Linked DNA regions of Drosophila melanogaster. The protein of the gene in region 1 interacts with the protein of each later gene in a pairwise test. Each region holds a gene or a part of one and is shown on either strand. Other genes may lie near its edges.

Region 1 (7,803 bases):
GCTGACTACTCATCCAAGGACACGGCCAAGATGCACCAATTTCTCTCGGAGATCGGTACTGATTACTGCACCTACACGTATGCCATGCTGAATGCTGGAATTGACAAGTGTGCACTGCCGCATGTCAATGAGGATATGCTGATGACAGAGTGTGGCATCCACAACTCGATCCATCGTCTGAGAATTCTCAATGCGGTCAAAAACTTGGAGAATTCGCTGCCCAGCTCGTCGGAGGAGAACATGGCCAAGACGCTAGATGTTTTCGTTAGCTATAGGCGATCAAACGGCTCCCAACTAGCCAGTCTTCTCAAGGTGCGTATACTTAATGTGGTTGAGAAGGGCATAACCACTTACAAGATCCCATTCGTTACAGGTGCATCTGCAGCTTCGTGGTTTCTCCGTTTTCATCGACGTGGAGCGCCTGGAGGCGGGCAAATTTGACAACGGCCTATTGAACAGTATTCGACAGGCAAAGAACTTTGTCTTAGTATTAACTCCCGATGCCCTGCACCGCTGCATTAACGACGAGGACTGCAAGGACTGGGTGCATCGCGTGAGTACCGCATTTGCCGATCGACCTTTAACCAATAGGTACTCATAAGGGGATACTCGTTTCGCAGGAAATCGTGGCTGCCCTGAACTCGAACTGCAACATTATACCCATCATAGACCAGCAATTCGATTGGCCCGAGGTGGAGCGACTTCCCGAGGACATGCGCAGTGTGGCCCATTTTAACGGTGTTAATTGGATCCACGACTACCAGGACGCATGCATCGATAAGCTCGAAAGGTACATTAAGCGACGCATTTAGATCTGGATTAGCCTGGGACTAGGACGATGGATAACTCCATTACCGATTACCTTAAGCCTGAATAACCCAGAATACTTCACAACTAAACACTTAAACGATTCCCATTCTTCTGATGCGGCAGATTTTTGCGCGGCGAAAAGAATATCGATCGCATTGCGGCGATGGTGCCCGGCACCCCCGGTTCGGTCTCATACCAAAGAATGCACAGCAACGACTCCGACTACCAGAGCGGAGGAGCAGGCGCCGGATCAGGAGCAGGAACTGGAGGAGGAGGTGGTGGCGGCGTTACGGGCAGTGTGGTGGATGGCCTGATGGTGGCGGCCAATGGCAGCGGACAAGGTGGGCCAACGAGTACTACATCTACTACTTCTTCTACTCCCAACTCAAATTCAAGCTCAAGCTCTAACCAGAGTCCCCCAGCGGCTCCAGCGTAGAGTGAGCCAAGTTATGCTAACGATTTACAGAGCTAGCCAACTCGAATATGTTCTAGGCTTAAGCAGAGATCCTCAAGTCACACTCTCTAGTACAACTCTCTCTCACTTTCTACCCCCACCCATACACCTACTACTTTCTCACTCAACTCAAGCAACCCATTACAACTACACTATCCATTACTCTTTACTCTTACCAATTAATAATTGATTTAATTCTGATTGCCACACACTCGAAATCGCTTGAAACGCCGTCTCATGCGCAGCTAATCACCAGGCAAATAGGTACCGCCAATCTCCCTCACCGGCCCGCCAAAGGGGCAGCACCTCGCAGTTGAGTGGTTATTCTCGGGCGCCCTCGAAACGCTCCCAAATCCTCACCCCGTATCGCACCCAACAGGCAGCCCTGCTCCACAAAACCGGAGCGGGTTCCGCGTCCATGCAGAATATGATGCCATTGGCGTATCTGCCTCCGCGGAGGAGTTCCGCCGCGGGATTAGGTCATGGATCTGGTTCCGGCATGGGCAGTGGCTATCGATCGCACAGTGTGGATGGGCTTCTAGATCAGGCGGGCTCAACTCCAGAGCAAAGAATAGCAGCAGCTGCGGCCAAGGTGACAGCGGGTAGTACAGCTCTAACGAACGCCAGTTCCACAAGCACTCTGCAGCCCGAAGAAGAGGTGACGGATGCCGCCCTCAATGACTCGGTGACCCGGCGTGACAAGCATACTTTATCCCCACCGGGAAATGTACAGCAGCACAGAAAGTCCCGAAGTCTGGATCATATTCTCAGCAAACAGACTTTAGCAGAGCTGCTTCCACCGAGTAGCGAACTCGCAGATGGAACGCAAAGTATGCAAAACCTGGCCATTCCAATGACCCCGCAGCCCCAACGAAGGGACACCAGCTCCTCCTCGAAATCCCCCACTCCCGAAAGACCTCCGCAACCAGCGATGGAAAGGGTAAGGGAACGCCAGAGTCCTGAGGGTGTGAGTGCGACGGAAAGCGAGCGGGAGGATCAGCCAGAAGAATGTCTGCGACATGGCAACCAACAGAGGGCATCTGCCTCGGTTCATCGGGGAGCCAGTTTGACCAGCAACAAGACCTCCAACTCCTCACTGGGCTCCAACTTTAGTGCCGGAGGAAACAACAAGACGATATTTAATCGAACGATGAAGAAGGTCCGCTCGCTGATAAAAAAGTAAGCCATAACGAGGAGGCAGAGAGACGAGATGGACCGGGACTCGATGTCCCCACTCGTCGCTCGTCACTCGCTATCTGCTCAATATTACTGTTATCCATCATTTCACGATCTGATTTCACCACTAAGTTTCTTCATCTAAATTTAACTGGTAACGCTTCGGATAAAAGATTTCAGATGTTACTTCGAAAGAAATCAGATTGTGAAAAGGTGCTTCTAGTTACTCGCCAATCGCCCACTAAGTGCCTGTTAACCCGTTTCTCGCCACTCGCTGCATTTGTGCCATCTAAAAAGAATCTCATCCAATCACGCATTCATCCACCCCCTGGGGACCCTTACAACCTTTCTACCTCCACTCGCTGACTCTACTTCTCTTTCTCTGGTGTTGGTACTCGTTCGCTATTTTTACTCGCCACTCGTTGACTCGTTTCGCTAAGCATCCACTAAAACTCGCCTGCGTTGCCCAAAAAATATATACGAACGCCCCTCCCCCGCCAATTTCTATATCTTCAAACTCTATTTGCCTTGTGATTAGTTGTTGATTTTGATAATTATTTTTTTATTGAAAAATAAGTAAGCGAATTTAAATTGCGAAAACTAATTTATGAAAAGAAAAATACAATTAACGACTGCATAAATACGAAACCTAATTTATAGAACACAAAACAGAAACCATCTAATTCTAAACACTACAAGAAACAAAAATATATTGGAGAGCGAAAACACTCTATATTTAAAATGCTATTTATAAATAATATGTTTAAAAATTTGTACATTTTTCGCGAATGCAACATGTTCTTGTAACCGTCCGCAAAACGTAAACTAAAAATTGCAAAATTTAAAATTAACCCGTGTGGCTTAAAACGAAAATATTTACATAAGTGATATTTAAACTACGTATAATCGAAATTTACTTAATGCAAAATTTTTACAACAAAACATGCTGTACAAACCTAATTTTTAGCGCAGGAGTTTTTAAGGCATATTTTTATTGATTTTTGCAATATATATTTAATATTTAAATAGTGCCTAAAGTTAAATACGAAAGCCGAAAAAATCGAAATACATACAAAAAAAAAAGGAAATAAAATGTGACTTAATTCAAACTAAATGTGTATTATTGGCCCTATTTAGCCCTGTTCCCCTGCTTAATCAGTCCATACTATATCATCAATCGCATGTACCGATATTATACGTTTTGTTCAATGTTTGTATTGCGTTCTGCATTTGAATTTGTGTTTGTGCCTTTAATGGAATTCGAAATGTTTTATTTGTATATATCTTATCACTTTTATTTCTTCCCTCTTTCTTTCTCTATATCCGGACTTTTTTGTAGACCATAAAAGCGAAATTGGCTACCGCAATCCGTTGTAACTGTTGTTATCGTTGTGCCTGTTGTACTGCCCCCGCCCACAAAAGCACCCACCCACCAAATCGAATCGATTTCGATTTCGAAAAACCCATCATCGCACACCGTGAGATTAATACGATGCCTACACTCAGCATCCGCCGTCTCGACAACCAACATTCATTGTTATTTATTACCAAGCAAGCAACAAAAAAAAGAAAGAAAGCAATCAAAGCAAATAGCGATACCAATAAACGTGTATATAATTGCATAAATCGAAAGAGTCCTGTCAAACATTTTTTAATTTGTATCTTACCCATACCTCCTCCCACTCGAAACAGCAACGAAATGGAGGACGAGGAACTTTCGGGCATCATTCTGTCCAAGGCCACCTCCCCCAATGCCGGGCGCATGATATTTTGGTAAATGATGGACCATCCCCCACCTGACACACATTCAGTCACACAAACGTATCGAATTTTTGTAAATATTTAATAAAACAAAAAACAAATAAAACGAACGATCTGAAACTCGAAATCATGTTGTTATCTAAACATCTTGAACTTACAAATACAAAAAACTACAATTTGCAAAAGTTCTAAAAAGTTTTTGAACATTATTTAAAGACAGGTTTGTATATAATTTATGAAATTAGCCTAAAATATAGCTTTTAAGACATTCCTTTAAGCAACATAAGCTAATAGCTGCAATCTATAATAGTGATGCTGCGCATATGACTTTCAAAACCGACCAGTGTGTCCACACCAGAAAAGTTGAATTCATACGAAATCAAGCAATATGTGAACTCAATTCAGCCCTGAAATGGAAAGTTTCACATTCCTTTTTCTGTCATTTGCACTACGGCATTGTCAGGGAACGTGTTCATTTGGTACCACATTTTTTCATATATTGGTCATAATCGGTTCCAGTTCATATCGCTTCCGATTTTTTGAAAAATAAAAAGGTACAAATATTCCAATATGTCCGACAATACCGAGAGCAAACTTGCGCTAGACCCGTGCGATGTGATCGTCTTTGAGGGACCATTCAACCGCTCGGTGAGCAGGAAGCTAGTCATCAAGAACACCAGTAAGACCCAGCGAATGGCCTTCAAGATGAAGACCACCACTCCAAAACTTTTTTATGTACGCCCCAACATCGGTGTCTTGGGGCCCGAGCAGAAGGTCAGCGTTGACATATTCATGCAGCCAATTCTGCAGGAGCAGATAAAGAAGCGTCATAAGTTCCTTCTCCTGGCCGCCGAGGTGACTGGTGACATAAGCGATGTGCAGGAGTTTTGGAAGATGCAGAACCCGAATGAAACTCGGGAAACCAAGATCAAATGTGAGCTAGTCCCTTCGAAGGAGGACGATTTCCGTCAGGCGGGAGGTTCAGCTGTAATATCCACGGACAACAAGGACGGAGAGGTCCATTTTGATGCCCAGGAAGTCAGTGAGCCAATGGCCAAGTTGCTCAAGCAAGTCAGCATGCTGGAGGACGAGCATATGGCCCTCACAGACCAGATCGACGGCTTGCGTGACCAGGCGATTGGGCGCACTTTCTTCTACATGGCCGCCATAGTAATCATTATACTGTCCGCTGTCGCAGGCGCCTATTATGGCAAGACTCGTTTGTAAATTCCTTATCATGGCAGTTTTTAGAACATAAGGCAGTAAATTGCACCGAAATTGTACGAAAATTATTTGTCAATAAAGGACATTTTGGTTGCATATTCTATTTTGAGATAGATAATTAGTTTATGCTTGTATACCAATAAATGCGTAAGATGTTATATTCTCACTTTACTAGAAGTAAATAAGTTTAAAATAGGAAATGTCGAATAAAAATAAATTTTTTCAAAACAATTTAAAATGCTTTTTCCTATTTCACTTTATGAAGAGACAAAAAGTAAACTTATTAAAATTTCTGTGAATAACACGTCAAGTTTGATCCAACTTCTACAGGCAAGGCGTATAGGTGTATAGCACTTGCTAAAATTTAGAACTTCTTTTTCAATTCCCGCCAAGACGGGACCACCTGTCTAGGCCAGTGCTGTGAAGCGCGCGTGGCCACAGAGCTCGGCAACCCTGCAGCCGTGCGAAAGCGAATGTGGTGAAGAAAAAAAAAACAGCGAAATACACACGTATTTTGCGACGAAATTAAATAGAATTCCTGCTAAGGGGTATAAGGACACTTGAAGGATGTCTGCGCGAATGCTGAAGAAGCTGCAGGGCGACGCTGACAAGCTGGCGCCACCGCCCGATGACGAGGACTGCGAGGAGCTGAGCGACAATGATGAACTGGAGGACAGCGATATGCAACGCTATCGAAAATCACACCTTAATCCATTCGATTTGGTAGGCCGCTATTAAAAAATAGCCAGCTCATCACCGAATGAACTGCATAATCCTCCGTTCCCACAAATTTTCTAGCTCAATCAAGCCGGTTTGAGTCTCTCGGAGAGTGAGTTCAAAGAAGATGACAATGAAACGGAGCATCCGTCTGCTGCCCTGCCCAATGCTACTGCCAGTGCGGCCAAAAAGAAGAAAAAGAAGCGCAAGAAGAAGGCCAAGTCCAGTGGGAATCACATCAGCAGCGAAGATAACGAGCGTCAGGATAAGTACTTTGAGAAGGTGGATCCGCTCCTTGGCAAGGTCTACGATGCGGTGCCCAGACAGTCGGCGAAACAGTTGGTATCGGCTGCCACCGGGACTACTGCCACCAAGAAACTGCTGGCCGTAGAGCTACGGCACCTGAATCCACAGAACGAGATGCGTCGCACTTTTGGCAAGCGGGTGGTAAAAGTGGAGTAAGTTTGGAGTGCCTGGGCTAAGAACTTCCATTCTGAAACTTAACTCTTGCAATCAAACTTTCTTTCAGAACCAAGCGTGGCAGGCAGAAGCCCACGCTGAAGTCCACCTATATGGTGACCGCCAAGGATTCGTGGCCGGCACTGACTAAAAACACCATCACGATGAAGCTGCTGCCCGCCCCAGACTCTCCATCGGTGTCCTCCAAGTCTATCACAGATAATGGAGCGGACGTTCAATGGTTTGCCTTTGAGCATAGCCAATACTACCAGGGAGTGCAGCAAATGTTCCTTTCTGCTCTCGAGCGCATTGACTCGGAATTTCTGATCACACTTATCAAACGCTGCCCCTATCATGTCGACTCCTTGGTTCAACTCAGCGAAGTATGCAAGATGACCGAAGACTTTTCCTTGGCCTCCGAACTGCTTGAGCGCGCCCTTCTCCTTCTGGAATCGTCGCTGCACATCAACTTCAGTTTGACGTCGGGCAACTGCCGACTGGACTACCGGAGACAGGAAAACCGATCCTTCTACATCGTGCTGTTCAAGCACGCGCAGTACCTGGAGGAACGAGCTTGCAGCCGCACCGCCTTCGAGATCTCCAAACTGCTCCTGAGTCTTCAGCCAGACACAGATCCTCTTGCCATGATTCTAGTGATTGACTACTATGCCTTGCGCAGCAAGCAGTTTGAATGGTTGGTAGAGTTCTATGAAAAGTATAACGCCGCGAGGAACCTCAATCAGCTGCCCAATATGGCCTACTCGTATGCTTTGGCTCTACACACGCTCTATGGCGCTTGTGAACGCTCTAACCAGGCACTGCAATACGCCCTACTAATGTTCCCGGGTGTTTTACGTCCTCTTTTGGACGAGATGTCGGTGCAAACGGACAAGAGGGTCCTGGCCTCATCGTACTTCTTTGCAGATGTGTCGGGCAAGTAAGTGGAGTCTTATCTCCGTGAATGATTAGTGGTATGGAATTTAATGTCTTATCTTGTTTACCAGTCAATCGCCCGCCCTGCACCAGCTGGTGTGCCTGTATGTGTGCCGTGCAAGAGTCGTTTGGCGTCAGAACGAGGTGCTACCCTGGTTGGAATCCAACGTGAACATAGTGTTAGATCGCATTGAGAGTAAGGATCCCCTGGTTAATGAGTACAAGGAGAAGCGATCACTGCGATATAGTGGAACACCACCAAGGCCCAT
Region 2 (7,614 bases), 6.1 Mb from region 1:
ACAACAACATCACTACCCAGTAAATATTATTACTTGTGAAATATATATTTTTTTAAATTAATATTGCATATGTTGGATAGGTTTGCGTTTTTCTTAACCCTAATCATTGAACATATCTATTTATTTGTTCCTATAATTTTGCCTAATTCCCAAAACAAAAGTTGACCCAATTCGGCTTTCTACAACTAACGGCCCTGACATATCAATCAATCAGACAATCGAGCTCGAGCAATTGTACTCACGGTATTTATAGGTTTTTGTACTCCAACTACATCTGCCCCCCTTAAACGCCCACCGATATTTGGTGACAATGCCCAAAAGAAACGAAAGCGTGAAAATGGGAAAGGAAAACGAATATGTTGGCAAGGCAGAGCCACGACCAATTAAAAAAGAAATATACGTAATTACTCACGCTTAGATCGAGGGACTTCTATAAAAGTACTTAGGCCCTTAGTCATGCCTCAAAGTTTTGGGTAATTGATGGAAAGGGGAAAGCGGGTAGTAATGCAAGTGACCAGCCAGGAAGGGAAGTAATGTCCGCTGAAAAACCTCGACCCATTTAGCTAATGACGTTTTGGGCTGATAATTTTCATTTTCCTTTTTCCGGAAACGGAGAAACACACCTGTTGAAGTTTGTTCCTGAACAGGCATTTTTGGTTGGCAAGGAAAGTGTAATTAGTATACTACAAATATTTGTTTAGCACATAGTTTATGCTGATACTTTGAAGAGGAATTAAGTAGATTTTGTGTTATTTCTTTTCGAAGAATCTCAAAGGGCTTCGAAAATTTTCAATTTACTAAGTGCTCTAGGCAGCTTAGACGTGCTTTCTCGATAGGTTTTCCAATCAATAAGTAATGTATTGATGGGCTCGTTTTTTGCGCTTTTGCAAAACTTTCAGCAATTGCATGTGATTTTTTGTTGGCACTTTGACCTATTGACCTGCATGTCATGTCTGTAGCCAATTGAACATCTATATAAACTTCGCACACAACAAATTTAATATCTTAAATTTTGTATTCCTTTTGCAGCTGCAGTAAGCTTTCCACCAAACATGGCACCAATGCCCCGAATTCAGTTACCCAATGGAAATTCTTCCATAAAGGCTAGCACAAATGATTTTCTCTTTGCGGAAACAATGTCCGGCGACAGTAGTCCCACCCCCAGCAGTCCGCCATCCAGTACAGGTATGGATAACATTAAAATAATACATAGATTAGCTTACTAACGAAATTATGTTTTAAACTTCAGCAGGCGTTGCCAAATCTCAGTGTTCTTCCCTTTCGGATGGCGAATCCTTTGAGGGATATGGCGAAAATGAGTATCCCACCCAACTTCGCGAAGCCCGCAGCTCCAATTCCAATGGGAGCCATAATATGAGCAATCATATTAACAATAATTCTAATATCAGCGTGGGCAACAACAGTGGACACAACCACAGTGGACACTCGAACGATGGAAATAACAACCTAAATGGCAGCACTGGCGTCGAACTCGATTTGGCTCCACACGTCGGCTCATCAACACCTCAAGAGTAAGTTTTTGAAACATTTATATAGTGCGTTTCAAAAGTGTCATATCCATTTAACATTGCGATAAATTCAAAATATATACTTATGTATATGAACACAGTTGTTCTATAAACTGTTAATGAATTTATTGCATATAAATATGTAACTCCTGTAAAGCAAAGAACATTAGTCTTGCGGAATTACCTCTTGATTACTGTCAATTAATCTTTTAAACTAACTGACACTGAAACGCCTTGTGTATTTCCATTGTCACAACTGATGAGCATTTACTAACTCGATTTCGATTGTTGCAGTGATGACGAACTAAACATAATGCCCCGGGATAATTGGGCCAGGCGCAGTCTGCGACGAACTCCCACCAGGTAATCTCGCCCATTTTGATCGGATCACATCTCTTAAAATGGCAATCGAAGCGAATGCGAATTTGCTTAGTTGTCGGGCATTTATAAGGTTGCGCACATAATCCAGCTGAATACGTAATAGCCGTGAATATAAAATAAAGCTGACCAGGCCCAGAGACTTCATCAATTCAAAACTCTCAATTTGTCTGTCCGAGGCAGCATAAAAAAAGCGTATTTGAATAGTTAACCTTTTCTTTGTGTAAACCTGTGTCTGTTGGTTTCAACGCATGTATGTGTGGCATGAAAAATGCATACACAGACTGAAACCAGTTTTTTCTATGCTCTGACTTGGGCTCATGAATCGCTTTGGGCCGTGATTCATGCGTGTCTCTGTCTTCGGGTCTCGGAATCTCTCACAACTCAGCGATCGTGCCTCTCTTTCTGGTCGTGTTCCGCCGTCTCTTTTACTCTATTTCCGCCTTTGTTCAACAAGTTGCCATAGCCGTGGTGAATTCACAGTTCAACTGATCGTAAGAGAGTGCAACAATTCTCTTAAATTATACAGTGATGAGTGTTACCTAGTTATAGCTAGAATAAATCATTTATTTAAATAACAATTTTATATAATTATATTGGCAATTTTAAATAATTCTAAATAACTGCCTATATAAATATTTGGAAAATTAGGCGTAAATTTCATTCTATATATGAACTTATATAAAAGAAAATAAGATGATTAGAAAGATTGCTATATTGCTATGTTTCTATTGCGGTTAAAACTGAACCGAATAAGACTATTATTAGATATCCCAATTGATAAAAATTTTTCTTACAGCAATCCTGATAGTTTATCCCAGCGTCGTTGGGGATCCATGAGACAGTAAGCACCCTTGAATATAATTTCTTTCGGGGTTTCATGTAGAGCTTCATATAAATCATAACCCCCATTCTTGCTCCATTTTGGTTTTGGTTTTTTGATTTGTAAATAAAAATATTTATAATTTATCTTAATTAAAAAAATTATTGGTGCACTGCTCCTTAAAAAATATATATATATAGTTTTTAATTCAGTATTTGTCCTCATCACATTTGATGTTTTCACAAGCGTTTCCATGACTTCGCTTATCTAAGATTGTTAATTTCAGCTATAAGTTGCCTTTGGTTTTTTTCCCAATTTTCCATTAGCTGGTTTGCTCAATTGCTTGTTTTTCTTCTGCCTAAATTAGTTATCAGTTTTTCCCATCTTATTCGCCTGTTTCAATTGTTGTACAACTACATAGATGTTCAATTGGGCAATTTTCAAGAGCTTTCCTAACGCTGCCACCCCCAAAAACTAAAATTTATGATTATTGCCGGCGGGGGAGGCTGTCATAAAAGTTACAACCGAAAAAAAAATTGCTCTCTTTTCTGGGACTTAATTGCAACTGAAACCAAAACGAAAGTAAAATAAATATATCAGATTAACAGCATGAGATTTATGTTAGTACAATGAGAGAGCTCCAAGATGGAATCTGCTGCAATTTATATAACTTCCTTTGGCAGTTCTGCTTGTCAACTGGCGACCGTGCTTCCTGCTGCCATCTTCTTGAGCCAAAAGTAGTTTGGCCGCTTTTGTGAACTTTTCTCGGGGACCGAGCGAAAAGGTTGAAGGTAGAAGATGCGGGTCTTTTCTTGTCTCCCCTCAATTTAGCCAACTCCTTCCCTCTTGATGTGGCTTACAAGTTGGCTGACTCGATGGGGTTGTCATGCTGTTGGAATTTATTTTTTCGCTCATCCGATCGGAGGAAGTGAAGTGAGAGGGTTCCAGAAACAGGTTTAACTTGCCGCAATTGTTAACTCTTCAGAATTTAGGCCGGCACTTTTGTCAAGTCGCGAACAAAATTTGACCCAAAATAAAACTCAGTCTGCTGATGTTATCGATTCTGACACATTTATCTCGTATCGTTATGTACTGTTATATACTTTTGATCATTTTGATCATTAAACTAAGGCTGTAATAGTTAGATCATTACTAGAGCATCGATCAATATCGATTAGCATTTCAATTATTAAACAAATTTTTTTCATAAACATTTCTTCGAAAATTATGCACGAAATCGGATAAAGTAATTAAAATCGTCTGCATTTAAGGCGTGTGCAAATCAGTTAACCCCACGCAGGCTATAAATTGTGGTTGCTCTGTCAACTTTCCGGACCTTGATGTTCTTCCCATGGCTTCTACTCTTTTCGAAGCAACTACAACTTGGGCCGACTTGAATTTGTCATGCAAATGCCTTTGTTTTTGCTCCGCTGCTGGGAACATGTTTTTCCCACTCTCTGCACTTGGCATTCAAAAAAGCTGCACTGGGAAATGGTGGGGGAAAATGCATTAAAGAACCGAGAACAATTAGGGAAAATTGTGGGAAGAGGTTAAAGATTTTTATCTGAAAAAGGAAAGGGAATGAGTGGAATTCTACAATTATTTTCTTTAAAAGAACGAATATTTTTCCACATAGGAACATTTTAAATGTTGTCATTTGAATTCAGTCTAGCAAGCAAAGAAAATACTTTTCAAATCACATTATAAAAGTGATAACATCACCGGTTGGTTATCCGTTTTAATACAACCTAAATTACAGATAGAAACTAACAAAAAGTCAGGCCCAAAATGTGGAACTATCGTCAGAAAGTTGATTTGGAAACATCGGTAAAGATATCGCCGTATTGCAATTCTTGGCCATCGGCTTGTTGGTTTACTCTTAAAGGCATTGATTTGTTGAAACTTCTGGTATTGGAAAGATCACCAACTTACCTGGTGATTCTTACGATTGTCCTTATCGTACTCCTCTTACTTGTATTTAAAAGATTCAAACACAAATGGAACGATGTAAGTTAAAGGGGGGGGAAAACGTACAGTAGAAGGGGCTTAATAGGGTTTTGTTCTAGGTGCCTATGTCGGAGATTGAGTCACTGAGAAAACGTGTTAAGTTTGTAACCAAGGATATGGCCATGCTGCAAGAAGCCCTAAATTCGACCGTAATACCCAAGCCGCCGCTAGCGATTTCTGATGATATTAGGAGTAATATTAATTACTTGGATGAACCAGAGTCCAACGCAAATGATGACAAACTTTCAGAATTTAAAGAAATCTTTGATCCTTTCCCCCCAGAATTCGACAAAATTAGTGAAACTAAAGCGCTAGTACGAGAAGAAAATAAACCGGAGCCTGTGATTCCAGACGCCGAACCTCGAGAAGATTCCGTAGTAAAAAATAGGGTGCGATTTGCTCTAACAGATCAGGGAAAACCAGCCAAAGATGAGACCAAGCACATTAATATAGCGAAACCCACGAAGATTATAGCTGAAAATAATGTATCCGTGGAAAATAGAAATATGCGTAAACGGTCATCTCCTTCAAACACGAAAACGGGATGGAAGCTCTAGATCTATTTTCAGGAATTTTCATATTGAAATTTCATTAAAATTGTAGTGCTCGAATTTGTAATAAACCATTCATAGTGATTTGTATAAAACTTGTTGTGATCGTAATTCATTATAGCCCTATGCCAACCTTGACATCTTGCCTTCGCAAGCGTTTTGGCTTTAAGTGATTTCCAATTGTCTTTCGTGGTAATTTTCACCTATTTCATTGTGTATCTCTGTTTTCCCGTGCATAGTTCCCAAGTCTACGTGGTTGGCCCTCAATTAGCCTTAAAGGTGGCCGGCTGCCTAATCGAGGCAGTTTCCAAGCCACTTTGCGGGGGCCCAACATTGTTTGGCAGTTGGCTTGCATTTCTTGGCTATTTGGCAGACCTGGCGACAATTTCCCGTTTTTTTCCCCCTGCATGTATTTGAATTATTTGGCAGCTGAAAACGGCTTGAAAGTACGTCTGTCGCCAATTTGGCTTCGGTTTTAGGTAATTGCCATCTATCTAATAGGTACATGAGAATGTTTATTGTTGGCCAGATTTGTAGATGTTGCATAGTTTTAGTTTTTAGTATCGCCGAACAACATGTTGGCAGCAAACAAGTTGCATGGGAAAGTGTATGGGATTGTAAAAGAGTTGCCAGATAAAAAAGAAAAACAGTACCATCATCAAAGACCTTTCAACATTACTAATGAGACTATAAATGTTGACTTAGGTGGCAACAAAGAATAGTAAATTAAATATTTAACAGTATTGAAATGTTATCTTAAAATATTATTTTTTAGTATATTATTTTAAGAAAAGAATATATTTATTGATATATGTGAAATCGTATTATTGAATGCTGAAAGAAGAGGAATTTGAATGAAGATGATTAGAATTAGAAATTATGTTATTAAATATATAAATTATAAATATTCTACCATTTTCTCTTAGGAATAAGCAAATATATTTCTCCATTTTCATTATAATTATATTTTTTTATGTCACAAATGATTGACATTTGTAAGTTCACACTCGCTGTGTAATTATTTTAGTCTGTCTGGCAAGTTCGAACTGCAACAATGGTTTTAGCCCTCTCCCACACACACTTGTTCGCTCTTTTGGCCTGCTTTTCCGTTTTGTTTATTATTTGGCTAGTTGGCTCTCTCGCATCGAACCTGTTTGCTGGTCGCCTTTAGATTGGAGCAGGCGGCTCAAAAGTCGGAATGTGGTATTCGGTTTTAGTTCGAACATCGCTGTAACCGCGTGCGGATGTCAGGAAATTTGTGTCGTCCTTTTTTGGCCTGATTTGATTATTTATTAATCGCCCGAGAGTCTGTGACTTGTGTTCCGGTGTAAAACCGAATAAAAATCATACAAAATTCCGCCGCATCCATTGAGAAAACCAAAGTATGTGAAAGTGTGTGTGTGTGTGTGTGGCATTTGTTTATATACAAATGTGTATATAGCATACATATGATTTTTGGGCGCACCAGACAACGCGGCGTATGCGAAACGTTTGTGCAAATAGATTTAATTGTGTTTTTTTTTGTCGGTTTTGTTTTTGGCTATAAATTTCGCTTTCCACGGAATAGAAAACGTTTTTAATTCGAGCTGCGCGCTTTTATGAGATTTCGTACATAGTTTTGTGCTGTAGTTTACACTTTGGTAATTTACGGCGTCACGCCTTAATGACGTCCAACTACCATCATAATAGCCACAATAACAAGCGCAGTCTTTGGCTATATACTGCACATTCCCATGCAAAATCGGAGGGTCTTCGCCGTCTTCTCGTGCGTTGTCCTCATCTCCATCTTCTTCGACATGTGTGTCTCGTCTTTTGCACGTGACTTTTCCCGGGGTTTCCACGGGCCCACGCCCTTTTGTGCTGCACTTTTCCCATGCATTCATCCAGATTAAGGCCCATTTGTACACAGACGGGTAAAAAAAGAGGTTGTTCAGAATGTATTAAAGTGTAGGGTTTGATACACAGGTGGTATTCCAATTCGAATAGACTTTCATTCATTTCTGAAAGTGCTTTATAAATAAACTATTACATGAATTAAAATAACGATTTTTATCTTATTTTGAGTGTACTACCAAAACAGTTCTTATTGAAAATCCAATTATTTGTTAACCACAAAGTTTTCCACGAAAAAAGAATAAAAAACCTCCAAGAGCGTGTTTGATAATTCCTAAAGCATACTAAAATATTGATAAACAACTCAGAACTGGTGTTAGTTATGTTGGATCATTTGAATTTTAAATTGTGAGAAAGTTATTAAAATATTGCATACACAAGTTAATGTTTAAAGCTGCGTATTCTTTTACAAAATAAATAACATTTTAAAGTA

Evidence for each region.
Region 2: the proteins of fan (region 1) and saturn interact in a two-hybrid assay, tested with the Drosophila melanogaster proteins (one large-scale study listed by BioGRID).

Annotation. Positions count from the first base shown.
Region 1 is NT_037436.4:8,104,507-8,112,309, forward strand, and holds fan (farinelli), read left to right. Parts: upstream 1-4,625; 5' UTR 4,626-4,771; coding exon 4,772-5,428; 3' UTR 5,429-5,537; downstream 5,538-7,803. Other genes in the region: Sarm (sterile alpha and armadillo motif), read left to right, coding at 1-312, 374-553, 621-790, 934-1,151, 1,510-2,443, 4,133-4,217; Nulp1 (nuclear localized protein 1), read left to right, coding at 5,993-6,148, 6,224-6,600, 6,672-7,538, 7,606-7,803.
Region 2 is NT_037436.4:14,198,916-14,206,529, forward strand, and holds saturn (saturn), read left to right. Parts: upstream 1-4,407; 5' UTR 4,408-4,518; coding exon 4,519-4,737; intron 4,738-4,796; coding exon 4,797-5,294; 3' UTR 5,295-5,379; downstream 5,380-7,614.